Linked DNA regions of Xenopus tropicalis. The protein of the gene in region 7 purifies or fractionates together with the protein of the main gene of each other region. This does not show direct contact. Links are inferred from orthologs where the notes say so. Each region holds a gene or a part of one and is shown on either strand. Other genes may lie near its edges.

Region 1 (4,279 bases), on a different chromosome or scaffold from region 7:
ATAAAATATTCCAGCCTTCCTCCACCAATTTATAAAAATATAAATAACATAATAGTTTTTATACTTAATTGCTCTGCATCTAATGAGGTTTGTCTCAGGCTTCTAAGCAAGGAGACTTATACAGCTTATCTTTCCAAAACAAATCAATGAAACTAATCACGTGTAAAATGAAAGTGCTTCAATCTTACTGTTCCGCATGGTTACAAAATAAAATACCAGGTACAGGTATAGGATCCCTTATGCGGAAAGTTCCGAATTACGGAAAGGCCATCTCCCATAGACTACATTATAAGCAAATAATTCTAATTTTTAAAAATGATTTCCTTTTTCCCTGTAATAATAAAACAGTACCTTGTACTTGATCCCAACTAAGATATAATTACCCCTTATTGGGGGCAGAACAGTACTATTGGTATTTTTTTTAATGTTTACATGATTTTTACCAGACTTAAGTTATGAAGATCCAAATTACAGAAAGATCCCTTATCCAGAAAACCCCAGGTCTTGAGCATTCTGGATAATAGGTCCCGTACCTGTATTGGATTTATTATCCGGAAAGCTTGGGACCTAGGATAAGGGATCTTTCCATAATTTGGATCACCATACCTGAAGACTGCTAAACATTGCCACCAATATGGATTCATGCAACCCTGGATTTCAGTTTGAGGCGCTCAGAAGCCACTCCATTCTCCACGCCCACCCACCCACGCTGGATAGTGGGCCTGTGCATCCTTCTCAGTCAGATACAGAGGACTGGGGAAAGAACAAGCTGAAGTTTTTTTTGCATATCCCATCCCCAGTGTTTCTTATCTGAAAACATTTCACTTGCGGCTGGGCAGCATGCCACCCCTAAATTTATGCCACCCTAGGCCCAGTGTGATAAAACTACTTTTTATGTACTCTGAGAAAAAATGTTATCTCTTCTGCTATAATGTAACTGTGGGGCAAATGATACAGCCTGTGTTTATGTCTGTTTAATGTTATGTGTAGCCAGCCTGAATTTCTGTTCTCCCAAGGTTAATTGACCCCTGCTGTGAGAACAAATAAAGCCAGGACCCTCTGTATTCCAATACACAAAGTTGGCCCCAAGACCCCCCTGTAAGGGCTGTGCTCTTTCTGGATCCTGCATACAGACTAAACTGGGCATGCTCACTAAATGGCACCTCATTGGCCCAGTGGTATCAACTGTAATTGGCCCCTCTGGAAGCTGCCTTTGGGTTGGCAGAAGAATCAAATACTGTTCTGCATTTACAACAGGGGCAGCTCCCTTTCTGGCTTACAAAGGAGGCTGCCAACAATTCCAATTTGTTAGTCTTTATTATACACATGGAAGATCACAGAGACTGCCCAGCTGTAACCATCACAGCTGTACCCGCAAGTACCCAGTGCCCAGCAGTAGCAGTGCTCAGCCCTAGCACCCCCCGCAGGCAGAACCACTAAGTGCAGGCTGGCTACCATAGGAACTCTGAGCAAACTGGCAATGCTGCAGCTACAATAAAGAGCCTCATTTTCTAAAGGTATTGTGTGTGTCCACATCCTTCACGCGACTCCGTGCCGGCACACCCGGCCTTGCCACAAATCTGGGCCTGTTAAGTTACCATCAAGTACAAGCTACTCTCTTATTACAGTGAAAGAGAATAATTTTAAAAATGTTTAATTATTTGCTTATAATGCTTTCTGGATAAGGGATCTGATAACTATATTTTCAAATAAAGCCCGTAGGCAGAAAGTAATCCAACAAGCTCTATACACTAAACATGTTGATAACAGTAACCCCTTTGTCTCACGATGAAGCAACAGCACAGAGAGGAAAGCCTAAGGGCTCTGGCACACGAGGAGATTTGTCGCCGGCGATTTTTAAAAGAGCGATTTGGCGACAAGACAAGCGACAAGACGCCAATGCTAAATCAATGGAAATCGCGTCAAAACATACGAGGCTACTTCAAATCGCCTGCTGTTTCAAATCGCACACAGACCCCTTTTCTGAGCGACTTGAGTAAACATGAGGGGGGGTAACGGTTGAGTGTACCATGGGTAGCAGATCGCCTGGAGCTCAACTCGCATGAAATCTCTGCGTGGGTATTGTCGTGGCGACTTGTCACCAAAGCGCCAGGGGGAAAAAACGCAGGCGACAAATCTCCTCGTGTGCCAGAGCCCTAAAGGATGAGGGAACTGGGATGGGGGCTTTTGCAGTAAGGGTACAGCTTAACCCACTGTACTGCTGAGCTCTTCTGCTTAGGATTTATTTTCCAATATGGCCATTGATGTAGCTGTATCATAGTGGATTCAGTAAGAGCATGGCCCTTGAGGGCTCATATGTAATGTGGGGGAGACATGATGAATAAGGTATCCAATAGCCACAATTCAGCATGAAAGCACATTGCCTTGTGGGGGGCCATGTTCACCCCATTATAGTTATGAGCGAATGGAGGAAGTGCACTGGAACATCCCGCTACAAACACGTGGTTTATAAACTCAGCAATATCGATCTCACCCATTGTTTGTGTGTTCCCCGGGAGGTCCTGCCCGAGTTGAAGCCGGGGGGCTGTAAGAAACAGAAAGAGACTAAGAGGCTGCTGTACCCGGCCATGTTTGCCCTCACTAGGAATACCCACCGTGTTCTCTTTATCCAGCAGCGCCATCCTCTTCATGGGGGACACATTATCCTTAAGAGGACTGAGCGCATTGCGCGGAGACAGCATGTTGTTTTCCCTTCAACCTATAGTACCTCAACCGCTAGAGAACCGGCCGGACTGACCGACAGTGAGGGGCAGCTGCAATTTATAGGTAGTCGAGGGAGAACCAATGAGGAGCCGAACAACCGCCGGGTGAGACACTCTGATTGGTAAAGATAATATCACCTGATAACTCAGGCTTGTGTTCCCGCTCTGCGCTCTAGAACCCGGGTTCCTGCCTGTTCCTATGAATGCACCTGTTTTTTTTTTTTTATTTTACTTTGAGGTTGGCCTGATTTGACTGGCATATCCATTGCTTACTATTGGCCCCAGACATTATTGCATATACTCTTACTTGTTGGTCATTTCATGTTGCCTCTGATAACATGGCCCCAAGCAGGGCAGCCATCAGAAATCATGGGGCCCCTCACTCAAAAAAATTTTCTGGGCCCCCCTCCCACCAGTACAAAGGGCTCACAGACATGAGACATTGGTAGCCAGCAGGGCCCCCCTAATGCATTTGTAGCCAGCAGGGCCCCCCTAATGCATTGGTAGCCAGCAGGGCCCCCCTAGTATATTGGTAGCCAGCAGTGCCCCCCCCTAGTACATTGGTAGCCAGCTGTGCCCCCCCCAGTACATTTGTAGCCAGCTGTGCCCCCCCTAGTACATTGGTAGCCAGCTGTGCCCCCCCCTAGTACATTGGTAGCCAGCTGTGCCCCCCCCTAGTATATTGGTAGCCAGCAGTGCCCCCCCCTAGTACATTGGTAGCCAGCTGTGCCCCCCCAGTACATTTGTAGCCAGCTGTGCCCCCCCTAGTACATTGGTAGCCAGCTGTGCCCCCCCCTAGTACATTGGTAGCCAGCTGTGCCCCCCCCAGTATATTTGTAGCCAGCTGTGCCCTCCCCAGTACATTTGTAGCCAGCAGTGCCCCCCCTAGTACATTGGTAGCCAGCTGTGCCCCCCCTAGTACATTTGTAGCCAGCTGTGCCCTCCCCAGTACATTTGTAGCCAGCAGTGCCCCCCCTAGTACATTTGTAGCCAGCAGTGCCCCCCCTAGTACATTGGTAGCCAGCTGTGCCCCCCCCTAGTACATTTGTAGCCAGCTGTGCCCTCCCCAGTACATTTGTAGCCAGCAGTGCCCCCCCTAGTACATTTGTAGCCAGCAGTGCCCCCCCTAGTACATTGGTAGCCAGCTGTGCCCCCCCAGTACATTTGTAGCCAGCAGGGCCCCCCCTAGTATATTGGTAGCCAGCAGTGCCCCCCCCTAGTACATTGGTAGCCAGCTGTGCCCCCCCCAGTACATTTGTAGCCAGCTGTGCCCCCCCCCCCCCCCAGTACATTTGTAGCCAGCTTTGCCCCCCCAGTACATTGGTAGCCAGTGTCTTGTTCAGCTCCTCCGGCGTCTTACGCGGCGACATCCTTCCTGGATGACACCTCTGCACTTCTGAGTGCCGAAAGAAGACAGGCCCTTTTATAAGGTTGCGCCCCGTGCATGTACGCACGGGGCGCGACCAATAGGATCACCCGCTGACCACCAATGACAGGGCCCAGAACGGATTAAAGAGCTACTAAGAAAACTTTAGCATGGCGGGCCCCCTTTTAAA
Region 2 (4,204 bases), on a different chromosome or scaffold from region 7:
GGGGCATACTGCTGCCATGCTGCCAAACGCACTGTTGTTCCTAAATAAATGCTTTGCTGCCCTGATCAGACACTGCTCCCAAGGCAAAGTGCTTGTATGCGCTTCTGAGGCTCAGGTACCTGAGCAGGTCACAAATCCCATTGGATCTTCACTAAAAGTGTTCAGATTCAACTTCTGAATGCCCATGTTAGCCCTGCCATCCAATTTCATGTGTAAGCAGCTGTTCCAGCTACAGTAGGCAGTGTTGGACTGGGACCCCAGGGGCCCACCAGAAAACCTTGGACCCTAGGCCCACTCTCCAAACTATATTTCCTCCTTTCCTCACCCAACCTCTTTATTCTCCTAGTCTCTTTTATTTACATCTATCCTTCCATTTATTTCTCCTCTTTCTTCCCATTCAGAAATAGCAAATGACCTTGAAGTATGCCAAATGGTCAGGAGAATAAGGGCCCACTGACCCCTCGGCCCACCGGGAGTTTTCCTGGTATCCTGGTGGGCCAGTCCGACACAGTAGGCCTCAGTCTGCTTAGGAACATAAGCTGCAACTGTATTATATTCACCATTAAAGGCATTGGCCCTACATTCTCCTGTCATGTTTGAGTTAAAATTCACCATAACTCAAACTGGGCAAGTGACCCATCTGTGAATAGAGTTGCCATCTGTCCAGCAAAACTTATGCTTGATGTTATCTGTAATGGAGAATGATAAAATAAAATATAGGAAAGCAAAGGTGGCAACCCCAATCTGCAACTGTTCTAGATGTTTCCAAAGCTTGGGCTCCTATATATTGCTGGACTATAACTCCCTGCACGCTTCACCATATAGTCTAGTTTTAAAGCACTCTGGGAGCTGCAGTCTTTCAACATCTGGCGCCATAATTAAGATACAGACACTATGGGGCACATTTACTATTCCATGAATTTGAATCCCGAACGGCAAAAATTCGGATTGGAAACGAAAGTTTCTGAACTTTTTCGTCGCCATCATTGCAAATTTTTCGTACTGACCGATCGTAAACGCCGGGAAAACCTTTCTGACTTTGATCTTTCAGTGCATATCTGCATGGGCTCGATCAGTGCACTTGCACACAAAAGAACATTCCGGTAATGTGACGAAAAGTCATGGAATATACGAAAAAGTCGTGATGGCGCAGAAAAAGTCGCAAAAATACTGATCATAACGAAAAAAAAACGCTTTTGGAGCGTTCCTGGGTTAGTAAATGTGCCCCTATGTGTAGGAAGTTACAATCCCAAAAGTGGAATAAACAGAGAATAGAGTAAGAAATTATATTTAATTATACTTATAAAAACCTTAAATTCACAAAAAGAGGTTATTGTACACTTTTCAGTTAAACTGTACTTTATACTGTTCAGAGGACTGTGAATCTGTCATTTATTATGTAATATTGCCCTGCAGTTGGTAGTCTTTAGTCCCCTCACTGTGTGGAGTTCCCCCTTTGTTTTGCCAGGTCACGGTGACATCACAAGGTTGGTGGGCGTGGCTAGCAGAGTGGAAGAGTCTGGCAAGTTCCAAAGGGCTGATACTAATAGGAATACATTGGACGTAGAGGGTGGACTAAGGAGGAGTGGGGATTTCCAGGCTGGCTGTATAAATAAAGCTGGGACTGCTCTCAGCCGTCAGTCACAGAATAACAAACTTCTGCGCAGTCGTTCTGCTCATTGTTTTGTTCCTAACTGCGACATCGCCGCCTATACGGTGCCCAAGGTGCCACCATGCCAGTCACCGTGAAAGCCTATCTGCTGGGCAAGGATGAGAGTCACAGGGAGATCCGCCGCTTCCAGCTGGAGCTGCCGGCTGCCGGCAAAGAGAAGGCGTCCGTGTCCAGCTGCGAGCTGCTAGCTAACAAGGTGACTGGCGTGTTCCAGGGCCTCAAAGGGGGAGCCTTCCAGATGTTCTACAAAGGTGGGAAGCTCAGTCATTATATACTAATAATTGCTTATATCAAATAATTGTTACATGGGTATATAATTAATAATTACCCGACCTCAAACCTGACCTTCATTCATATTTGCCAGCAGATATTGGCATATATATCCCCTGCACTTTGCTTCCAATTTCAAGGTAATATGAGGCTTGGCATGAGGATAAACCCACCTCCCTAATGGGCAAATAATCTCCTTGGAAGATACCATGTCCAGCAGGGGATGCTGAATGACTGCCAGTTTATCATGTGTAATAATAGTAAGAACCAGTCTCCAGTCTCTGTGTTGCAGAACTACACCCCTCTGTAGCTCATACGCTGGAAGAATGTAGTGAGTTGCAACAGGTTGCCTGTGTCTGGGGTAAATTCTGTACATTATACACTTGTATGTGCAAATAATTGTTCAGCGCACACACAGCCTACCCACAATAGGAACGATCTTCGGGTACAGTCGATGGTAGCAACACAAACTTGTGCTACAGCTACTAATTCTGTTTATATCTCAGTGTGGTTATGGCTTCAGGGTGAATCACAGCATAATATTATTGCCTAGGGCAGAATAAACAGCGCTGAGGCCAAATAATAAGGAAAGTTCAGTGAATGTGGGTAGGGCAATCTGTGCATAAGGCACCTAGCCCACAAGCCACATTGCCCTCACTGGATTGTTGGTAGCCCTAACCCTCGTGTATTGATCTACATGGGTGACTCATTTAATAAATATAAGATGGTTGTTAGCAGATATTAGTACTATAACTAGTACTACAAACTGATTTAGAAAAACAATATGAATATAATGTTTAAATAATGAATAACAGACAGTTTTCTAACCATTTCTTAATAGATGAGTTAGTAATTTTGTCTAGTGATCCGTGGTGTGCCCAGGATTTGGGTGTTGCAGCTCACACAAGCACTGGCATGGGTTATGTACACAACTTAAGTATTTTTCTTATAAAAAAACATGGCTGCGTGCTTTATCACTGCTAAAGGGGAAGGGCCATTGTGTGTTTGTTTTGTTGGTGCTGTCTGGTTATGCAAGGGGAGTGGCAAAGGTTGTCGGTCTAAGGTCTGTGTTATATATTTGTACTTGTCGGCTTGTATTGTATTTTTTGTGATACGTTTGGATGATTGTCAGTAGGTCAGAACTATGCTGATAACAATGTTTCTTGGCTTTTATACATGTGGAAATTTCCACTCTTGCCGGATCTGGTTAACATCTTTCCCGAGCCAGGACCTGATTAATAATAGCTAGAGACTGAAACTGGGGGAAGCAGGTTATTAGGATGAGGGCACTAAAGAGTTATTAAGCAGAATCTGAGCGATATCTAAACCTTACCTTAGCAGATACCATAATAGCTGTCCAGTGTTTAGTCAATGAAATACGTGGTAGATCCATGGCACCTATAATAGAAACAACTCACACAGCATTGAGGCAATCTCCTGTACAGGAAGTATAGTGTGCAACTGTGCAAAGGTTGTAGCTTCCCACGGTCACCAATGTATAGTCTCAGCAGATCAGACTTCATTTTTCAATCTTATCAGAATTCAGCCAGGCTGTGTATTACATTGAAGGAGGACGCCTAGCCTAAAACGAATTTCTCTTGAAATGCTGTATTTTATATACTGCACTTGTTGTAACAGCAGAGGCAACAGGAATTATGCAGGACTCCAGATCAGCTCACCATCTTAGACCTTGTTAAGCCATCTGTTTAGTGTCAGTGACACTGCACTTGCTCTGTGTGCTCTTGGCTGTTTTTGAGAAATTAAGCTTTGCCTGAAATTATCAAACAGAAAATTAAGTTTAACTTTTACAGAAGCTGATGTTTCAGGTTGCACTGGTTTCTAAACTTGTGTGTAATTAATGTGAAGTTCATTTAATTACTAATTAGACTTTCATTGTAACTTTTATATTAAATGTATAGAATGTATATTGTGAATGGGTCCTTATGCTTAGGCAAATGACAGTAGCCCCCCAGAGTATGTGCTGTGAATTAGCAGCAGAGAAGATGGGGAGCTATGGGAGGCATCTTCAGCGGTACAGATCTTCCCTGCTAGATAGTAGCAGGTAGCCTTGGGTTACTAAATAAGGTCAAAACATAATAGGGCTCATTTATCAACACTTGGCAAATTTGCACGTGGGCAGTAGTCCATAGCAACCAATCACTGATTTAGCCAGCCAAAACAGTGAACAGTGAAAGCAAAAATGTAATTGTCATGGGTTACTGTCCATTTGCCCAGTGTTAATAAATGATTCCCAGTGTATAG
Region 3 (4,202 bases), about 9.3 Mb from region 7:
ATGTCTAAATTACGGAAAGACCCCTTGTTTGAAAAACCCCACGTCCCGAGCATTCTTGATAATAGGCCCCAGACTTGTACTATCTGCATGGATTGAATGTTCCCTATTTGTGAGAGTTTACTCTGGGAACTCCAGTTACCTTCTGCATGCCAAAACATAAATAGGCAGCAGGTTCTTAATTAAAATGACTTCACTGTATGTAATAGAGATTCACTGAATCCATAATTTTTATTTATTTTGGCTGAATACTCAATCTTTCAAAAAAGATTACTGAATACTACACCAATTCTGAACTGTAAGTTGAATATTCACATTTAATATAAATAAAAAATTGCATTGTGTTGCCCAGAGCCATTATATGATTTTTGGGGGTTGGATTTGGTTCAGCTGAATCCTGGAAACAGTCCTGGGATTCAGCCAAATCCTAAACAGAATCCTGGAATTGGTGCATCCCTAGTATTTACATGAAAGGGTCCTTACACGGTTAGCGTAACTGGGGCATGACATAATGGGACTGATGAATGATTTCTGTAAAGCACTATAGAATATATCAGCAGAAATACAAAAAAATTAAAATAATGCAGGTTCAGTTGGGTCCAGACTAAACAGAAAAATGCACATGGACCAGTAGCCCAGAACAGATAGTTATAAAAAGATGCAGCTACAGGAAATAATGTAGAATAAGCAAATCATTAGGCATACACACCTGGGTTTCTTTGGAAGATGGAAAGTTATGATGTGCTTGTACAGGAGAAAAAGATATTCTTCTTATTCTGCAAATGAAAGAAAAATAACAGGGTTACTACAAAAGGGTACATTTAAATGATAAAGTTCCACATCAAACCAGAAACAAGGTTTATCATGAGGCTTGAAACAATAAATCATCAATATTTCCATTAAAAAAAAGGATTTAAGGGAGTAAAATATAAATGGATAAAGGGTAAAGGTGGGCACACAGAGGTTTTGGAATATTGCTAATTTTTTTTACAAACAGAAACAAAAAGATTTTGAAAGATCAAAATCAAAGAAAAGAAGAATAGATAATATGGCTCATTTATTTCTGCAAGTGTGCACACACCATATTGTTTTTCCCAGAATTTCACTGCGGTCGCAAAGGGGTAATGAGCTCTTTGCTTCTAATTCATCAAAATTAACGCACCTGTACTTGCATTTCATTGCAAATCAAAAGCAATTACGCACAAGTCTGCTTGTACCACCTGGCCAGGAGGTACTAGTAGCAACAGATTCCCCTGAATCAATAGGTGTAGCAGTACTCCCCTATATTATTATTTATTTATTTATACACACATATATTTATAATATGCATGCATGTCCTGTAAATTATATCCTTACAAACAGTGCTTAGTGATGTCATCAGTTATAATCGCTTAGTGATTTCTGTTACACGACTTACTGAAAATTGTGTATTATAATAAATAATACACAAGTATTATTTAATACAAGTACCCCCAACTTTGCCTTCGGCCTCGTGCCTTTATATGGAATGCAAATATTAACTGCAGGTTTCATCAAAATATGATGTTTTGTTTAGGCAGTAGAAGCATCATACCTACTGTTATGGAATATATTACCCTCTTCATCAAATTATCTAGAATAGAATGCTGGTGCTTTAGTTCAGTTGTAGTGGTTACACTAAAGGTTTCCTATGCCTATGACTGTGGCATACTGAGAGATGTAGTGGAACAACAGATGATGCTGCAGTTTGCACATGCTTTGACTGAAAACCACCATTGCTATTGTTTATTAGTGATGTGCAGGTCAGGAAAAACTAAACCCGCACCCGACCTTAACATGTGAAATGTTGCCAAATTAGGGCCCATACTCAACCCTTAACCGGCGATTAACATTATAGCCGGTGGGATGGCATTTCGGGGGGATTAGTTGCCCCCATGTGCCACAGCCCTTACACTACTTCTGTGTGCGCCTCTAGTCCCAAGAAAGATAATCCTTGGAAGAAGGAATGTTCTTCCCCAGTCTGACATGCACCCATCCCAGAACCACTATGGTCACTCAAATCTCAACCTAAGCCTGCCCGACCCGCAGGTTTAGGTCAACCTACATATACATATGCACCCACAATTGTAACATGTATGAATATTAGTGACCAAGAAGTCCCATGACCACCGAGAGGCACAGTCATGGAAATCTGAGGTGGGGGGAATTTTTTTGTTTATTATACATATAATACATATGAGTTACATTACTAAGCACTGATTACAACTGATGACATCACTATGCCAATACACACACATATATAGATAGATGATAGATATAGATAGATAGATAGATACCCAACAGCCAGTCAATTGCCATGAAAGAACATTACAGCTATGATAAAAGGGTGAGCTCCTTTACCCAAAGGGACGTGTTACAGCCCCACAGCAGATCTAAATTCTGTACTTTCAAAGTAAATTCCCCCGCTGTACTGGGAAAAGTACAAGGCACGCCAAATTCGTCCTTATTATTATGGTAGCAAGTCCCAGCATCCTCACTTGATACCCATGTATAAACTACATGGCCAGTTACACAAGATAAAAAGCCATTTCTTACCCACACAGATGAAAAGCCATTCACAGAAACATTGTGTCTCCCAGACGCCCTGCCCAACAACTCCACACTTTCTGCTGGTTAACAGTGGCAGAACAATGCAGGGATGGCTCCGGGCTGCTGACAGTTCAGAACCCGCCTCCACCCCGCCATATTTTGAGGTCTCCGGCGGCAACTACAGCGCCTGGCAACGGCCGGCAGATACACGCCCCATTTTTACTTGTGGGAGGGACTTGCGTTTAAGGGCGGAATTCTAACAAGACAGTTCCGGGTTGCTGGGCGTGGCTATTGGTGGGATTCGGCGCTGGGTATTCGGAACTACATCTTCCATCGTCCCCAAGCAGGCGGCACAGGCAGAGGGACGCTGGGAGTTGTAGTTCTTGCAACGTCAATACACCCGGTGTATGTTTGGAGCGACCGGTTTCGTGTCTCTGGGCTCCGTATGCTTTTATCTGCCCCCGCCATGCTGTGGGGTGATGGCCTCTTGGCTTCATTCAGTAGCATTTTCCTTGTGCTGCTGCTGCTGACTCGGAACCCGCTTCTCACGTCCCTGGTTACGGGCGGTATCTATCTGCTGCTGGTTTTCTGTAGGTTCGAGCCGGTGCCCCAATCCCGGGCCCTGCAGGTGCTGAAACCTAAAGGGAGGGCGGCTACAGTAGCCCATAGAGGCGGGGGGCACGATGCTCCTGAGAACACCCTGGCCGCCATCAGAACCGTCAGTATCTCTTTTCTCTATAGCCCCACATGCGAACCTAATAATAAATGTCATTCTTAGCGCTTTCCACTATAGATTCAATAATGATTTCCAGCCATTGTCATTGAAAGCTGTACATCGTTTGTCCCCTGATATTATATGCATTGCCGGTTCTGACTTCTAATCATACACAGGGAAGCCATGAACACTCGTCTGCCAGGGTTACTAGCTGCATTAATATTTGCAAATAACTTTAAAACCATTGTAAAAGCTGCTTAGAATTTCATTATATCTTGGGTTTACCTTCACCTTTTATTCATCCGACAGCAAAGCTGAAATGAAATCTCATTTAGGGTGAAGACACACTTAGCTACTTAGTAGCAGCTACTTTTTCACAGCTACTAAACGCCAGAAAACACCCTGCCAAAGACAATACTGAGAATTGCCTCTGCTAAAACACGGGTAGAGACAATTATCAATAAATGATCAGCATTGTCTATTTTTGTAGCCAGGACAAGTAGCTGCTACTAGTAGCTCCATGTGTCTTCACCCTTAGGGCTCTGGCACACGGGGAGATTAGTCGCCCGTGACAAATCTCCCGTGTCTCAGTCGACTAATCTCCCAGAGTTGCCATCACCTGCCATCCCTCCGGCTAAAGTGTAAGTCGCCGGTGGGATGGCACACGCGGCGGCACGATTTCAGTGAGATCGCGCAAGTTGCCTCGAGAGGAAACTTGCACCATCTCACTGAAATCGCGCCGCCGCGTGTGCCATCCCACCGGCGATTTACATTTTCGCTGGTGGGATGGCATTTGGGGGAGATTAGTCGCCCGAGACACGGGAGATTTGTCGCGGGCGACTAATCTCCCCGTGTGCCAGAGCCCTTAGAGCTTTAGTTTCTGTATATACAGCATCACACAAGGCATATTTTGTTACATTAT
Region 4 (4,147 bases), on a different chromosome or scaffold from region 7:
GCACAAGGAAGTGTCTTCCTCTTTTGGCTGCATGCTGTGTTCTGGATAGAGCTCCAATTGAGCCTGGACCGGACATAGGCCCAGAAGCCAATTTGTGCCCTAGGGGACCTCATACCCTAGTGATAAGTCGGGGACAGGGCCCCGTGAATGAGGTAAAGCCAGCACAATCAGTTTTATTAATAGCACCCTCTAAAAGTGGTGAGAACAGTTAGCTTATTTAGCAAGGGCAGTTAATAGCCCCAACCAGGAGTTGTAAAAGGGTTTAGCCTACCCTGGCTCTGTTGTTCTTTAGGGACTGGTTTTATTAGACGCCAGGTACCAGTGTTAGGAGCTCTCCCCTGGACCACAGTCGGCCGGAACACTCCCTTCTGAAAGGTCTATATCTCAGGTATCAGCTAATCCTCTGTGCATCCTCCAAGTGGGGTATTCTGTTCCTTGAGTGTCACATCTGCTATATTCCATTGTGACCAATTCCTATACTGCTGTGTCTGTGAGTATATACCCTGCCACACTACCCAGTTGCTTTGTACAATAAACCAGTTATTATTTGATCATAAGAATCCTCTGGCGTCCATCATTCTCTATTTGCACCACACACCTCAGCTAGTGGTAGTTCAACTACACCCTCGCTCCATCTTAATTCTCCCATATAGCGGAGGCTCACTCCCTTGTATTAAGTGTCGCATGTAACCCATGCTCTCCATTATACTACTAGCCTGGATTTGTCCTTAAGGGCTCTGGCACACGGGGAGATTAGTCACCCGCGGCAAAACTCCCTGTTCGCGGGCGACTAATCTCCCCGAGTTGCCTACCCCTGCCATCCCATCGGCAAACATGTAAGTTGCCGGCGGGATGGCAGACGCGGCGGCGCGATTTCGCGCAAATCGCCGAAAAAGACTCGCGAGTCCCCGTGTGCCAGAGCCCTAAATAGGTCAAATAGGTGTTACACAACTATAGTAAATATATATTCATTCCACATAATGTCATTGTTTCACTGATAAATTATCAGGCTAAGTTTTTATTTCTAAACAGGAAAGATCTTTATATGTTTCTGCGAACACTTCTATGTTGCAACACAAATATTTACACAGCCGGGATTTGGCGCTATAACCTCCCCCACCGCATCAAAATGCAAAACAAGCTTTTCATGACGCCGGCGGTCTCTCGGCTTGTGATTGGCTGGCATGGTTAACGCCTAGCGCTTCAGCACAATGTGCTCGGAAGGAGCCAATCAGCTTGGGACGGGGTTTGGAGCGCCGGCCAATGGGAGAGCTTGGCGCCAGATTCTGAAGGCGCGCTGGTTATTCTACCTCAGGTTTGGCGCGCTGGGCTTCAGTGTGCGGGGGGCTCGGAGAGGAAGCGGTGAGAGCTGCGAGTTGTTACTTCCAACTGAATTCAGTCACACTATCGCTGAGAAGCCGGTGAGTCCTTATTGAGGCACCTTATGTTCTATTGTAGCGGCGCCGCGGTCTAGGGGCTACTTTATGTGCACCTCCGCCTATAGTGTCGCCCTTTTTATGTCACGTATTATAGTTTTCTCTCATCCGTGAAAGAAAATGTAAAGGTATCAATTCCGCACTTGTAATCATTCGTAACAATTTTGATAATGCAGCAATTCCGTGCTTTTAATCATTTATAACAATTTTGGTAAAGTAGCAAAGCCGCAGATACATGGGAGCTTGCAATGCATTGTGGGAGTAATGCTGGCTTCCGCTTACAGTCAGGCCCGGGGGTGCAGGGAGCGCTAATGCTGAGGGGTTTATTGCTTATCTGTATTGTAAATGGCTTTAACTATACGCAAATATTTGTTCTACCCTCAGTCACATGACTGGGTCTTTGCATGGACGACTCCATTTTGCACGTTGTAAGAGTATTGGCAGCTGCATATGTGTAACCCTTTCTTGGCTGTAACCAAGCCAACAGCACGGCTAGATAGGCCTAGAGCATGGGGGGGACACGGCTCAGTCCTTCAGGATGGGCCTTCCCTATGTGGGAGTAACCAAACGGAGCTATGGTGTAGTGCAACTACAACCCACTGTAGCTGGGCAACTACAACCCACTGTAGCTGGGCAACTACAACCCACTGTAGCTGGGCAACTACAACCCACTGTAGCTGGGCAACTACAACCCACTGTAGCTGGGCAACTACAACCCACTGTAGCTGGGCAACTACAACCCACTGTAGCTGGGCAACTACAACCCACTGTAGCTGGGCAACTACAACCCACTGTAGCTGGGCAACTACAACCCACTGTAGCTGGGCAACTACAACCCACTGTAGCTGGGCAACTACAACCCACTGTAGCTGGGCAACTACAACCCACTGTAGCTGGGCAACTACAACCCACTGTAGCTGGGCAACTACAACCCACTGTAGCTGGGCAACTACAACCCACTGTAGGTGGGCAACTACAACCCACTGTAGGTGGGGCAACTACAACCCACTGTAGGTGGGCAACTACAACCCACTGTAGGTGGGCAACTACAACCCACTGTAGGTGGGCAACTACAACCCACTGTAGGTGGGCAACTACAACCCACTGTAGGTGGGCAACTACAACCCACTGTAGCTGGGCAACTACAACCCACTGTAGCTGGGCAACTACAACCCACTGTAGCTGGGCAACTACAACCCACTGTAGCTGGGCAACTACAACCCACTGTAGCTGGGCAGAGTAACGAATGGGCGCCAGAAGGTTCTTGCAGTTGAACAGTAGAACTGGTTTATTGTCAGGGACAAGCAGGGTTATGCAATATACTCACACCTCAGTTAGCATAGCAGTTCTCTGAGGACAGCACAGAGAGGGGGCACACCCGCTCCTCCCAACTCCCCACGAGCCCGGGCAGGATCAGTGCCACCCAGGGTCGGACTGGGACACCAGGAAAAATCCCGCTGCAGCCCAGTCCGACCTTTGCCGGCGCTCCCCCTACTGACTGTTCCTCCTCTGACGTGTTCAATTTATACGCGCTTGGGGGGGACGTCAGGCGGGGGGGTTAGGGGACACGGCTAGGGCACCTGCACCCCCCAGTCCGACCCTGGTGCCACCGGTTCAGGTGCTCACTATGTGGAACAGCCAGCTTGGATACCACTCTCCTCAGGCCCCACGGCAACTTTGGATCAGGGTTCAGTCTACCTGCCTCCTATGGCTAAACCGTGGCCCTACACTTAGGCAACAATGCCTGTATGGAAGGGACTCCCACAGCTACTTTCCTCTGAGCCAAACTGCTCGTGCTCTCTTCCCTCACTATCTCACTTTCCTACAAAGTGCTCCACAAAACTGCTATTTAACTGCCCCTCATTCACAGGGTCCCTGTCCCCGACTTCACCAGAGTGGCTGACACACTCTGGGGCACATGGCTTACTGGGGCCTAGTTCCTTTGCCTCCAGCACAGTGCTGCTTCCCCTGTGAGCACAGGCAGCCAAAGAGACAGACCCCCCCCCCCTGCTAAACACTATATCTGTGTCCCAAGGGAGTGGTCTCCCTGTTACCCAATAATCACACATATGAACTCAAAACTGATACATGGGTCTTTGCCCAGTAACAGCACAAAACCAGGAAGCTGCAGGGTTTAAAGCCATAGGGACTAGTTAACCCTATGGATCCCTACATATGTTTTATTACAAAAGCAAAATCTGCATACTCGGGGAAAAAGCAAATGTAAAAAGGAAAATGTATTAATTACAAAATCATATCCAGAGAAAACAAAGCATATGTTTTATTAGGCAGACGGGAACGCAGCCATTTTGCATCATTTCAGCAGTTTGAGTGCAGCCTTCCCTAGATTAAAGGGGAAGCAATGTATAAATGAATAGTGTTGGTGGTAATGATTCTATGACTATATCCCAAGAGCTGCATTTAGCAAACATGCAGGTTATTCCCTTGTTTTTGATTGCTGCACTTCCCCTTTAAAGGCCTCATGTAGCCAAGAGCTGCCATATTGTGTAATGAGGCTTTTTGCAACCCTTCTGCCATAGTACAGGTGCCCCCCAGTGGTCATCAGCAGGTAATGCCGTTTACAGGAGAAGCTGCAGCTCTGGCTTTTAGGTCTGTTGCCTTATGCCTAAACTGTCATTGAAATATTACTGGAAGTAATATTTATGATGTGCAGAGCTGAACTATCCAAGGCTTGAAGGAGTTAACCCCGC
Region 5 (3,510 bases), on a different chromosome or scaffold from region 7:
ATGTGCATGTAGTGAAATGCACTCCGTATTGGGCTACCTTTGGGGAAACTGTTTAGGAATAATAAAGGTATTCTGTGGCCGTCACTGTAATACTGTTTCACTGTGTCTGGGTCCATTCAAGCAGATTATGATCAGGAGTGCTGGTAAATACATCTGGCGAATGCTTACAGCATGTCTTTACAATGATCAGCTACACAGAAATGGTTTCAACACCTTATCCTTTCATTCAGGTAACAGTCAGATAAGGTATCACTGTACTAAATATTTTGGCTAGCATTGTATAGCCAAACAGGCCAGTTATCTTCCATGAGTATCTAGCTATTGCCATGACTGTTTCTAAAACTCTCTATGAAGTCAAGCAACAGATATCTTCCCATTACTGTCAGCTGGAAGTGCAGTCCATATTGCACTCAAGTGCACTGGACTGGATGGCAACTTTTTTGGCTCAGTGCTGTGTGCCGTAAGCCAAGACTCATTTTTTAAAAAAGACCTCTCTGCCTTGCTGCCCTGATTGCAAGCTAATTACATGTAAATAAGTTTAGCCATTTTTGCTGGTTGAACGAAGAGTCACTGATTTTGTCACATTATCTGGTAAGACTGCGATAATATAAAGCTTGTATGTTCACAGGATGACTGATTAAATTGGGCTGCATGGGTTATATGCAAGAGTTTTTCATCAGTCGCTTTCTGGTGCTGCTATTTAAGCTCATTGCTCAAAAACAGTACCTGGTTGACCAGGTTTCCCCCCTTGCATTTTGTATAGGTTCATTGGTCAGCTTGGTGCAGGATGTGTGTGACTGTTTTAAGCTAGTGACACATGCCCAGATTTGGTCAGGCAGTTTGACCTATTTTGACTATACTTGTATGTATGGTTAGTCAGGGGCAGTTTACATCCTGTTGTCCTGATGGATCAAGAATTATCGGCCCTGACAATTTGTCAACTGAAAGAAAGTGCGCTACGTCTCCGCTTTTAACTGCTGTTGCTCCAAATATTTGTCCCTCAAATACTGAATCATACAAAGGTGGTGATAAATGTATATGGCCCCTTATACAGTGTCAACCCAGAGGAGTCGCTCAGGGTACTGTACAGGATGGGCCACATTAGGTGTATATATTAAAGTAGCAGTTCAAAATAACTGGCCGCTGTAAAGATTGTTTGAACTAAATTTTCTTTATCCTTTTCTTGACTTTGCCTGTTATTTTTATTTAGATATTAGACTGAATGTTAGTAGACAGTCGCCTACAACAAACTGAGATGTGCTGGTTCACTGACTTTAATTGTGACCTCATGGTCCCCCCCCCCCACCTACCCAGTCTGAAACAGTTGTTTGAGCAGATGCTGTTCTCTAGTTTGGTATAAGTGAATGCATGGCACTGTACACATACAGGTCCTTTGTTTGCAACCTTGCAACCGTTTCAGTGCAAACTATCCAGGATGTCTACATACTCTATAGTATGCTGTGTAAAAAAAAAAAAAAAAGCGAGAAAATTCACCACACGTCGCCAGGCTTCGCTGTGTAGAAAAAAAAAGGCGTAAAATCGACAATTTCTTTACATGTTTTTTCTTCCAGAACTTGTAAAATAACGGCATAAAATCTGGTGTTCAGACAGCGATCTTCTCCATTTATTTTACAGATTTTTACGTTGTTTTTTCAGTAAATTCGTTTTACACAGCTTAATAAATATGCCCCTTAGTCCAGAAAATCAGATGTCCCATGCTGCTTGATTTTCTGTGCCTGCCCCCTGCTGAGTGTTGAAAAAACTTGCATGTTGTGCATACACCTGCCTTCCAGTTAAAGGAGAAGGAAAATCATTTTTGCATTTTACTGCCAATAGATTAGCCACGTTAGTGCAAGCTACAATGCTATGTTTATTCTGCAGAAAGCTTTACCATACCTAAGTAATCAGCCCTTAAAGCTTCCTCAGTTTAAGATAGCAGCTGCCATTTTAGCTTGGTCTCAGTAGCTTCAAGCTCTAGGTGCTGGTAACTTAGTTCAGATTTGACATTCTGATGGGAGGGGGAGTGAATTGTTATAATAGCAGGAGAGAGCATGTTCAGACTCCAGCCCGTGAAATTAAGGATTTTTATGAGGAAGTCTGATACCTAAGTACATGTGTACACAAAAGAAAATAAATCCTGTTTCTTTTGAAAGAGGACTCTGCATCTTTTCTGTGTGCGCTTATGGCTGTATTTACATAGACCTTTCTGATAAAGCTTACTTAATTTTTACCTTTCATTCTCCTTTAAACTTCATGTCTATGATGCCTGCAAAACAAGAGTGCTGTGTTGACTTAGACTCAAATTTGCACCTTAATGTAAATCCAGATGTGGAACAACTTATGGTTTTTGTGCTGGGTACTCATTCAAATGTTATTTCTTTTAGGTTGCACAATCTCTCTGTGGTGAAGACCTGATCATTAAAGGAGTCAGCGTTCATGTTTCTACTGCAGAGCCCAAGCACAATAACAATAGGCAATTAGAGAGAGGTGGCAGATTTCCTGGCCCAAGTTTTGGGAACCAGGGTTACCCCAACAGCCGGCCAAGTAGTGGTGCACTTGGCAACAACCAGGGTGGTAATATGGGTGGTGGTGGAGGGATGAATTTTGGGGCCTTTAGCATAAATCCAGCAATGATGGCAGCTGCCCAGGCAGCATTGCAAAGCAGCTGGGGTATGATGGGTATGCTCGCTAGTCAACAGAATCAATCTGGCCCCCAGGGAAGTAATCAGGGTCAAGGAAATCAACAAAGGGACCAGCCACAAAGTTTTGGTTCAAATAATTCTTATGGTTCCAACTCTGGTGCAATAGGTTGGGGGTCCCCTAATGCTGGATCTGGCAGTGGATTTAATGGCGGCTTTAGTTCAAGCATGGAATCAAAATCTTCAGGATGGGGAATGTAGTCTTATTAGAAGACACTGGGTTTCTGGTGGGTAATTCATAATTTTTATGGTAAGTATATTGCAGAATGTTTCCAAAAGGTTTTTGAGTATGTTCAGTAGTAAACTTAAGGGAACTGTTTTCTAAGTTTGTACTTCAGTTTAACAATCTGGTCTCAATACTACTTTCTGACTGAACATGCATGTTATAGACCACTGGTTAACAACCTGTAGTAATTCCAGCCTTTTTTCTTTGCCTCAGTCTGTATATTAATGTAAATGGAATCATGCATTTTTGTTTAGGACAGTCTTCCTACCTTAATTGTGTTCACTGCTTCAACTGATCTCTGCTCCTTACCATGCCTTTCTGGAACCTGCTACTGAATGCAGTTGATTCCCTGCCCTGGAGCACTTTTGCCTACAAGCTTTTTCCTAGCCTGAAGATTCATGCTGCGTGATGAGTCTTAAGACGGTGGGTGATCCATTTTTATCCAGTTTGTTTCATGGAATTCGTACCAGCAATTTGAACGCACGGCTGTGAGGTGGAACCAGAAGGCTGTTTGAACTGTGGGATTGGTGTTTCCAAAGAATGAGAGTCTTTGGTATGAGCGAGAACAAGAGCGTATGCAGAGAC
Region 6 (3,973 bases), on a different chromosome or scaffold from region 7:
TTTTTGTAGCTTCATTCCACATAAAATAATGTAAATGTTGATTTTGCAGGAGCTGAAATGACAGAAATGATAGATCATATAGGGGTATTTTCATTTTAGGGCCCCTACATTGCACACACTTGTGGAAACCTATACATATTTTGCCTGACGAAGGGTCCTTAGAGCTCCGAAAGCTTGCAATGTTATTTTTATATATAATACTCTTGTATTTTGTTTTTTTTATTATTATTTTTGACACTGGCTAACACAGTACTACAGTTTTAGCTTTGTGATAAATTTTGATAAAAAAACAATAATTTTAGGAAAGCATTGCAACTTCGTAGTTTGGAGTAGACAGACAGTTTTAACCTATTCTCCATTCCTCAGAATCTGTTCTTTCCAAAAATGTATAATTTTCTGGTATAAACCTTCTGAAATGTAGGTGTTAAAATCTTAAGTATGCAAGCTTTCTGGAGCAGTGCTTTGGAAATTTGGTAGGTAGTGTACCGCTGGGAATTTTTGAATCACACAAATGAGAAATCGACATAAAACTATATATATATTTGGTGCTGGCACATTCAGGAGACATGGGACTTTCCGAATCAGTTGTATTTTTGTGCATAAAATCATTTGTTTCTTTTATATGTGTTTATATTACGGAAAACGTGTTGTTGTTTTTTTGTTGTTTTTGTTTTTTTTAATCTTTTAGACATTAAGAAGCCTATATCTTGTTCCAGAATTGGAATCACACAAAAATTCTACCATATTTTGAAATCTTAGGTCGCCCCCCCCCCCAAAAAAAAAAGATATATTGTTTTCCTGTGTAAACTAAAAGTCCCCCCAAGGAAAGGCCCTAAGAGTGCAAAATGTTTCAAAACAGTCTGGCAATACAAGTTCTGCTTTGACCAAATCAGCTGGCAGTGAAAGGGTTAACTGTTCAATACAGAAATATTTTGCTTAACCAGAACACCACAGCCCCTTAGTGAATACGAACAGATGAAAAGGCTAGCTTGCTTAAATCTGTACATTTTACTTCCCTCAAGGAGCATGTGCCTACGCCTTTAAATAAATTCTCTCCAAGCCTGCAGACCGCAGCTCTTCCTCGTTACCGTCTTCCGCCCCCACACACATTACTAACACGCCCCAAACTGTGCGCCTTTAATGCTAATCACATGACCAAGGCATCAGCCCAGCTTTCGGCGCATGCGCCATATAGACCCGGAATTTCCTCTTTTCAAAATGGCAGCCGCAATGGATGTAGACACACCAAGCGGAACGAATAACAGCGCTAGTAAGAAGCGCTTTGAGGTTAAGAAGGTAAGTGTGCTTGCTTGCGTATGTTATGGATGTAGCAAATGATCAGAACAGTCTTTCTAACTAATACTTAAAGAGGGCGACAGTGCAGCAGCTGATACTATTCAGCTAGATTGCTTGCGCCCTAAAGCTTTTTAGATGTTTGATTGACGTGTTTTCCGCCGAATCAAATGTTAAACCCTAATACTTAGGGCGGTCCGTTTTGGCAAAGCGGTGATTTCTGTCGTTCCGGCGGCCCAATAGCGGATAGCTACTGATGCCACAAACGATTGGATGAATTCTAACCAATGTAAGTGCCCCTCTCAGCTGCACTGGGAGGCGGGATCATGTAGCCGCACTTCACGAGTTTGCGGGGGAGCTGTAGGGCCACAGACATTGCGTGGTCTCATTTGCTCATTTGTTTCCCTGGAGGAGGCAGGGAATGTGTCTTGGGCTTTTAGCGGTGTGAGAGCAAGAAACGGGGCTATTTGATAAAAAATAAATTGTTGAACAAGTAAATGTAGGGGTCAAATGACTTGCATTTAGCACATGTAGGGGTATATTAATCATGCTGTGTAAAAAGTGGAGTGAAGCATTATCAGTGGTGTTGAGCTGGGTAACCAATCGGCTATTAGATTTCAACAGTTCTGATTGGCTGCTATAAACTTCATCGGTGATGTTTTACTCCACTTTTTGCACAGCATGATATATATACCCCTACGGTACAGGAGCTGTGAATATGCATTCTCACAGCGTGATGATTTTGCCACCATAGTTCTGCAGGGCATGGTGTGTTTAGCTTACAGTATCAAACATGGTGTATGTGCCATTGTTGGTGTATGTTGCCATTACAGCCTCCTCTCCCTCAGACCCTGCATACCCTATACTTAAAGGAAAACTATACTCCGAAACAATGTAGGTCTCTAAATATGTATTGCATATACAAGCTCATATGTAAAACCCTACTTCATCCAAAAAAGCCATTCTCATATAAATATACTTTTTTTTGTAGTATGTGCCACTGGGTAAGCCTAAATGAAGGCTGGGGCCAACTGGGCTTTTTCCCCAGTGTCCCGTAGCCCAGTCCAACCCTGATTAACAGTGGCTTTCTTTCTTCCACTACTGGGCAGTATTTGTTGTATTTATAGCCTTTCCAATTTCAGCCACAGAGTTGTCATGGGTCTCTTAGTGACCTTCTACATTATTCTTCTCCTTGCACATTCACTCTCTTTTCGTGGATGGCCTGTTCCTGGCAGATTTACAGCTATGCCATACCCTTTCAGTTTCTAAATGATAGATGTAACTGTATGTCCAGTTATAGTTAGAGACTTGGAAATTTTCCTATTTCCATCCCCCAACTTGTGCTTTAAATCACCTTTTTATGGAGTTGCTTAGAGGGTCCTTCTCCCTTCATGTTATAGATCAGTTATCCCCAACCAGTGGCTCATGAGCAACATGTTGCTCACCACCCCCTTTAATGTTGCTTCCAGTGGCCTCAAAACAGGTGTTTATTTCTTAATGTCTAATTTGAAGGCAAGTTTTGTAGGCATAAAGACCATCTGTACTGCCAAATAGTCTCCTTTATTCTGCCAGTTTGCATTGGGCTACCAAATAACCAATCACAGCCCTTATTTGTCACTTTTATCATGATTGTGTTGCTCCCCAACTTTTTATATATTTTTTTTTTTTTAATTTGAGTGAATTAGTGAAAAGTATATGTTTATGGTATAGACACTTTATTTGTTAGAAATAAGCTCCTGATGGAGCTGTTGTATACAGTCTGACCTGAGATTACTGTTAAAAAAAAAAAAAAAAAAAAAAGGGGGGGGGGGGTCATCAAGACGACACTCTTATCCAGCTCTGTGTGAGGCTACATGTTGAGGTAACAGGGTCTGCCAAGCATCTAGGCCAGAGGCAGGCCAAGCCGACCGGGCACCTAGGCAACCTGGTCGGCCACCTTACCCCTGCACCCTCCCATGCATAATACCCACGTGCAGTGAAGGAAATGACAAGTTAGTGCAGACTAGGGGGAGGCAGGAGAGGTACCTGTCTGGCACCCATTATTCCGGCCCTGATCTAGGCACATTGATATTGGTGCCTTCATTGAGCCACATTTGGGCCACGTTTAACCATTCCAGTAAGACTCCAAAGCCATTGTCTGGTAAAACTGGCTAAACTAGTAAATCGAACATACCGGTAATTCTATACACATGAACCAACTTAGAGCAGATTGTGCTAAGTGATTAGATGAGTTTTAAAACATATTTAATTTATTGCCAAAATTTACATCACTTTAACTTTTTTTTCTTTTTTGTTGCAGTGGAATGCAGTTGCCCTTTGGGCCTGGGACATTGTAGTGGACAATTGTGCCATCTGCAGGAACCACATCATGGACTTGTGTAAGTTTCCTTAATTGAACTTTAGCCGATAAAACAACTGTTGTCTGTAAGCAACATTTTAGTTAGTCCCAGTGCTTATATATACATTTATCTTTGAAAAAGTGAATAACCCCTTTGAATGGTACAAATGCAGAAAATAAAAATAATCCTCTTGTATCTTCTAGGCATAGAGTGCCAAGCAAACCAAGCTTCTGCTACTTCTGAGGAATGCACTGTGGCATGGGGTGTGTGTAATGTAAGTAGCTTTGATGGATATTCAGTGACTTAGTATCAAATATATAATATAGTTTTTTTGGAGAAAC
Region 7 (3,510 bases):
TGGCTACAGAAAATCCCCTGCCATAGACAATACTGAGAATTGCCTCCTAAAATGTAGACAATTATCAGTAAATGATCAGCATTGTCTATTTTAGTAGCTGCTACTAGTAGCTCCATGTGTCTTCACCCTTAACTTGGTGACTCTATTAATCTGTCCTTTGGAAAATTGACAAAGTGCTACATGCATTAGGTGTACCTGCTGCCTTACGCCAGAGTATGTGTTAATTGGTTGCTCGCTGCTTACCCTGAGGGTCTGTACCCATGAAAGCAGAGACTAAAACTAAATCCATAAATATAGTTTTAATATTATTTTAAACATGCACGCTGCTTCATTCTTTCCATTGTTCCCTCAATCTCTTCCTTGTGTTCCAGGTTCATCCACATTTGAGGTCCCTGGTGGATTCTCACAGTAGTGTTTGGGCTCGTGCCTCTTTCCAAGATGTCTGGCCTTCTCCTGAAAACTTGAATCTCTTTGAAAGGTAAGATAATGGGTGACAGATTGCTGGTACCTACAGTCTGTCCCTCTGAGTGGTCTGTAAATAAATCCACAAACCCTGGTCACATGATGGCGATTGATATCTGATGGCAGTTTCTCTTTATTCTCTCTAGGGCAGCTGAATGCGGTAACTTCGAAGCGTGTGTGAAGCTAGGGATCGCTTACTTGTACAATGAAGGCTGTAAGTGTTTGATTTTAATATCATGTTAGATAATGTTGCAGCCACGATCATTCCTGAAATACAGTTTTTGGCTTCCTTTTCAAGCTACAGTTCTCTAGTTGTGATTATGGGATCATTGGGGGTTGTAGTTCAGCAGCTGAGCCTCAGGTTGAAGATCTCCTGGAAATGTTGTATTTAGATGTGCTTCTGTTACAATGATCCTATTCACATAATTTGCCTTGAAGTGCTATCCCTTTAGGAGGCACAAGCAGTTTATAGGATAGTGTTTGAGGCTAACACATGATCTCTGCCCTACCAGAAGTGATAATTCGTGTTACTTACCCTTCTCATGCTTTTTCCTTAGTGTCCTTGTCAGACGATGGGAGGGCAGAAGTGAACGGACTGAAGGCCTCTCGTTTCTTCAGCCTGACTGAACGCCTGAATTCTGGTGCAGATCCCTTTGTGTGGCTTTTCATCCGCCCCCCTTGGTCCTCGTCTGGAAGCTGCTGTAAGGCGGTGGTGTTTGACAGCCTGAAAGAGGAGTGTGGGACTGTTACAAGTGAAGAAGGGGCAACGGGGGTGAGTGGTTTATTGAAAGAGCAATCTCAGATTGTGCCCTATTCAGAAAATTCCCTTCCCTGTCATGGGAAACCTTTATATTTCACAATATGAACAATTAGGTTTGATGCTGAACCACATATCTATCTTCATCTTTCTCTCTCTCTCTCTCCCTCTCTGTCTCCATAATATGTATAACGTGGCTATCTTTTCTCTCTCTCTCTATCCCTGCTTTTGCACTGTAAGTAACAAATTCTATGTTTTTGGTTCTAGGCTCTCAAAGGATCAATTCAGTATTGTCTGGCAAAAGTTCTGAGCCTGTTTGAGGTAAGGCGCCATCTTGTTTCTCTTTGAGGCACTGAGGTCTAATAAATTGGTAATTTGCTCTGTTTATGTAACTGTTCATTGAATAAATGTGAGCCCTGTGATCCTTGTCTCTTGCAGGATGATGACAAGAAGAGAGAAGCTCTGGGAATGCTTGAATCGTCTGCCTCCCATGGCTGTTTGCATAGCTCTTACTTACTCTGGGAAACCAAACAGAAAACTGCTGTGAGTGCCCTTATAACTTTCTTCCCTCTATTCTATTGTACAATGTTTTGATTAACAGTCCCCTAGATGTTAGTGATATGGACAATGCCACAAACATGGCAAGCAACTTGAAATATCCTAAATAATACCTTTTATTGTTGACCATACGGTCAATCCTCATATTTGTGCACCTCTTCTTGCTATAACTCACTCCCCTTTCTTTTTTTTTCTGTTTTCCTTTAGTTATCAGACCCTGGCAGATACCTACAGAGCTTTAGGCAGCTACGAGATTATGCGGCAAGGGGTTGCTGGGATGCACAGGTAAGCATCATTTATGGGATGAATTGTGGCCTGCTTTAGTGGTAACCAAACCTAGCAACATTGAACTTTCCCTACAGCAGCATAGGAGTCTTTTATTTGGTGACCCACCAGTTTAGCTTTGAGAGCACCTTTTATGCATGAGCTGTTAGGGAACCCAGACTGTGTTACTGAAAGCTCATTTTATACATAGTTAGATAAGGGGTTACTGTACTTTTATTGCAAAGGTCCCTAAACTGTGAGTCTGTCTTGTCCTGTTCCCCTCCCTAATAGCATAGGTGCCAGGCCTGAAGGCTTGATATGTTGGGACTTGTAGTGAATAGTTATGTGCTGTCCTACATTCGCCTGAAAGCCCAGCCTTGTATTTAAGCTAGCTTTATGTATTTTGTTGTACTAAGTCATACTGTTAGCCATGTAAATGTGTAATGTAGGCTTTATTGGTCATAATAGACTGCAATTTCCTCCCCCTCCCCTCTAGATTTCCTTGGCGAAGGCTTGTGGTCACAAGAACCAGCTGAGCCAGGAGCAGCGATCAGCTAGTGAATTGGTAAACCAAGTATTCCAGTCATCTCTGCCTATCAACAAAACCAGCATCTTTACCACTCAGAAGGGCATGAATGACACTATGCGGTAAGTTGGGTGTCCCTGTTTAGAGCTGCAATGTTAGCAAATTGGCTGTTGCCTGTCAGGTGGCAATGGAAGATAATTTCAATAAAATAATCAGTTTTATGTGCATATCCATCTGAATAAAAACTGCTATACAGCGTGATTCCCAGTGCAAATGGAATTTTTCAATCACTATATGTAGGTGCCTGTCTTTTTAGAAATAGCTGCTGATTGTCTAATACAATTGTATGATTGTTCTTCTTTATATTATTGTCACTTATTTACACTTGTTTATCTTGATGTCTCTTCCTTAGGTACATCTTAATAGACTGGCTGGTAGAGGTTGCCACTATGAAAGATTTCTCCAGTCTTTGTTTACACATGACAGTGGGTCTGGTGGACCGGTACTTAAAACTGCGCAGCGTCCCACGGGCCAAGCTCCAACTGGTGGGAATTGCCTGCATGGTCATATGCACACGGTACGTGAGGTGTCAATCCATTGTAGGGCGGAAATATGAGTTGCCTTCATGTAAGAAAGACATTGGGTTATGATTGCAGGTAGCTAATTATTTTTCTTTACTCTCGGTAGCTTTATTAGCAAAGAGATCCTGACAATCCGAGAAGCAGTGTGGCTGACTGATAACACCTATAAGTATGAGGATCTGGTTCGGATGATGGGAGAAATCATATCTGCACTGGAGGGCAAAATAAGGGTAAGTGGTTGTACAAAGGCTTCTCTTTCTTGACCCCTCTGAGGTGGAGTATAAAGGATTAATCCTACTGTAAAAAGCAAAACACTAGCTACTCTCCTCACTGATGTCCGTAGAAAGCAGTGCATGGAAAGT

What was found.
Region 1: the proteins of ccnf (region 7) and rrm2.1 purify together in Homo sapiens (affinity purification with western blotting; 5 studies listed by BioGRID and IntAct, with this or other methods). This does not show direct contact. The link is inferred for Xenopus tropicalis from reciprocal best matches to the Homo sapiens genes CCNF and RRM2.
Region 2: the proteins of ccnf (region 7) and sqstm1 purify together in Homo sapiens (affinity purification with western blotting; 3 studies listed by BioGRID). This does not show direct contact. The link is inferred for Xenopus tropicalis from reciprocal best matches to the Homo sapiens genes CCNF and SQSTM1.
Region 3: the proteins of ccnf (region 7) and ccp110 purify together in Homo sapiens (affinity purification with western blotting; 7 studies listed by BioGRID and IntAct, with this or other methods). This does not show direct contact. The link is inferred for Xenopus tropicalis from reciprocal best matches to the Homo sapiens genes CCNF and CCP110.
Region 4: the proteins of ccnf (region 7) and cdc6 purify together in Homo sapiens (affinity purification with western blotting; 4 studies listed by BioGRID and IntAct, with this or other methods). This does not show direct contact. The link is inferred for Xenopus tropicalis from reciprocal best matches to the Homo sapiens genes CCNF and CDC6.
Region 5: the proteins of ccnf (region 7) and tardbp purify together in Homo sapiens (affinity purification with western blotting; 3 studies listed by BioGRID, with this or other methods). This does not show direct contact. The link is inferred for Xenopus tropicalis from reciprocal best matches to the Homo sapiens genes CCNF and TARDBP.
Region 6: the proteins of ccnf (region 7) and rbx1 purify together in Homo sapiens (affinity purification with western blotting, with the first as the bait; 4 studies listed by BioGRID). This does not show direct contact. The link is inferred for Xenopus tropicalis from reciprocal best matches to the Homo sapiens genes CCNF and RBX1.

The regions. Positions count from the first base shown.
Region 1 is NC_030681.2:138,189,992-138,194,270, reverse strand, and holds the start of rrm2.1 (ribonucleotide reductase M2, gene 1), read right to left. Parts: upstream 2,805-4,279; 5' UTR 2,703-2,804; coding exon 2,616-2,702; intron 2,546-2,615; coding exon 2,495-2,545; intron 1-2,494. UniProt on the Homo sapiens protein: Provides the precursors necessary for DNA synthesis. Catalyzes the biosynthesis of deoxyribonucleotides from the corresponding ribonucleotides. Inhibits Wnt signaling.
Region 2 is NC_030679.2:22,202,833-22,207,036, reverse strand, and holds the start of sqstm1 (sequestosome-1), read left to right. Parts: upstream 1-1,397; 5' UTR 1,398-1,733; coding exon 1,734-1,923; intron 1,924-3,275; exon of another isoform or gene 3,276-3,713; intron 3,714-4,204. UniProt on the Homo sapiens protein: Molecular adapter required for selective macroautophagy (aggrephagy) by acting as a bridge between polyubiquitinated proteins and autophagosomes.
Region 3 is NC_030685.2:31,810,200-31,814,401, reverse strand, and holds the start of ccp110 (centriolar coiled-coil protein of 110 kDa), read right to left. Parts: upstream 2,802-4,202; 5' UTR 2,572-2,801; intron 774-2,571; 5' UTR 707-773; intron 1-706. Other genes in the region: gde1 (glycerophosphodiester phosphodiesterase 1), read left to right, coding at 3,011-3,283.
Region 4 is NC_030686.2:8,868,913-8,873,059, reverse strand, and holds the start of cdc6 (cell division control protein 6 homolog), read left to right. Parts: upstream 1-1,347; 5' UTR 1,348-1,421; intron 1,422-4,147. UniProt on the Homo sapiens protein: Involved in the initiation of DNA replication. Also participates in checkpoint controls that ensure DNA replication is completed before mitosis is initiated.
Region 5 is NC_030683.2:64,773,776-64,777,285, forward strand, and holds part of tardbp (TAR DNA-binding protein 43), read left to right. Parts: intron 1-2,384; coding exon 2,385-2,900; 3' UTR 2,901-3,510. UniProt on the Homo sapiens protein: RNA-binding protein that is involved in various steps of RNA biogenesis and processing.
Region 6 is NC_030680.2:115,969,901-115,973,873, reverse strand, and holds the start of rbx1 (E3 ubiquitin-protein ligase RBX1), read left to right. Parts: upstream 1-1,173; 5' UTR 1,174-1,182; coding exon 1,183-1,296; intron 1,297-3,592; coding exon 3,593-3,671; intron 3,672-3,835; coding exon 3,836-3,906; intron 3,907-3,973. UniProt on the Homo sapiens protein: E3 ubiquitin ligase component of multiple cullin-RING-based E3 ubiquitin-protein ligase (CRLs) complexes which mediate the ubiquitination and subsequent proteasomal degradation of target proteins, including proteins involved in cell cycle progression, signal transduction, transcription and transcription-coupled nucleotide excision repair.
Region 7 is NC_030685.2:22,533,371-22,536,880, forward strand, and holds part of ccnf (cyclin-F), read left to right. Parts: intron 1-371; coding exon 372-478; intron 479-608; coding exon 609-676; intron 677-1,019; coding exon 1,020-1,234; intron 1,235-1,486; coding exon 1,487-1,540; intron 1,541-1,657; coding exon 1,658-1,762; intron 1,763-1,984; coding exon 1,985-2,062; intron 2,063-2,537; coding exon 2,538-2,689; intron 2,690-2,979; coding exon 2,980-3,144; intron 3,145-3,254; coding exon 3,255-3,378; intron 3,379-3,510. UniProt on the Homo sapiens protein: Substrate recognition component of a SCF (SKP1-CUL1-F-box protein) E3 ubiquitin-protein ligase complex which mediates the ubiquitination and subsequent proteasomal degradation of target proteins.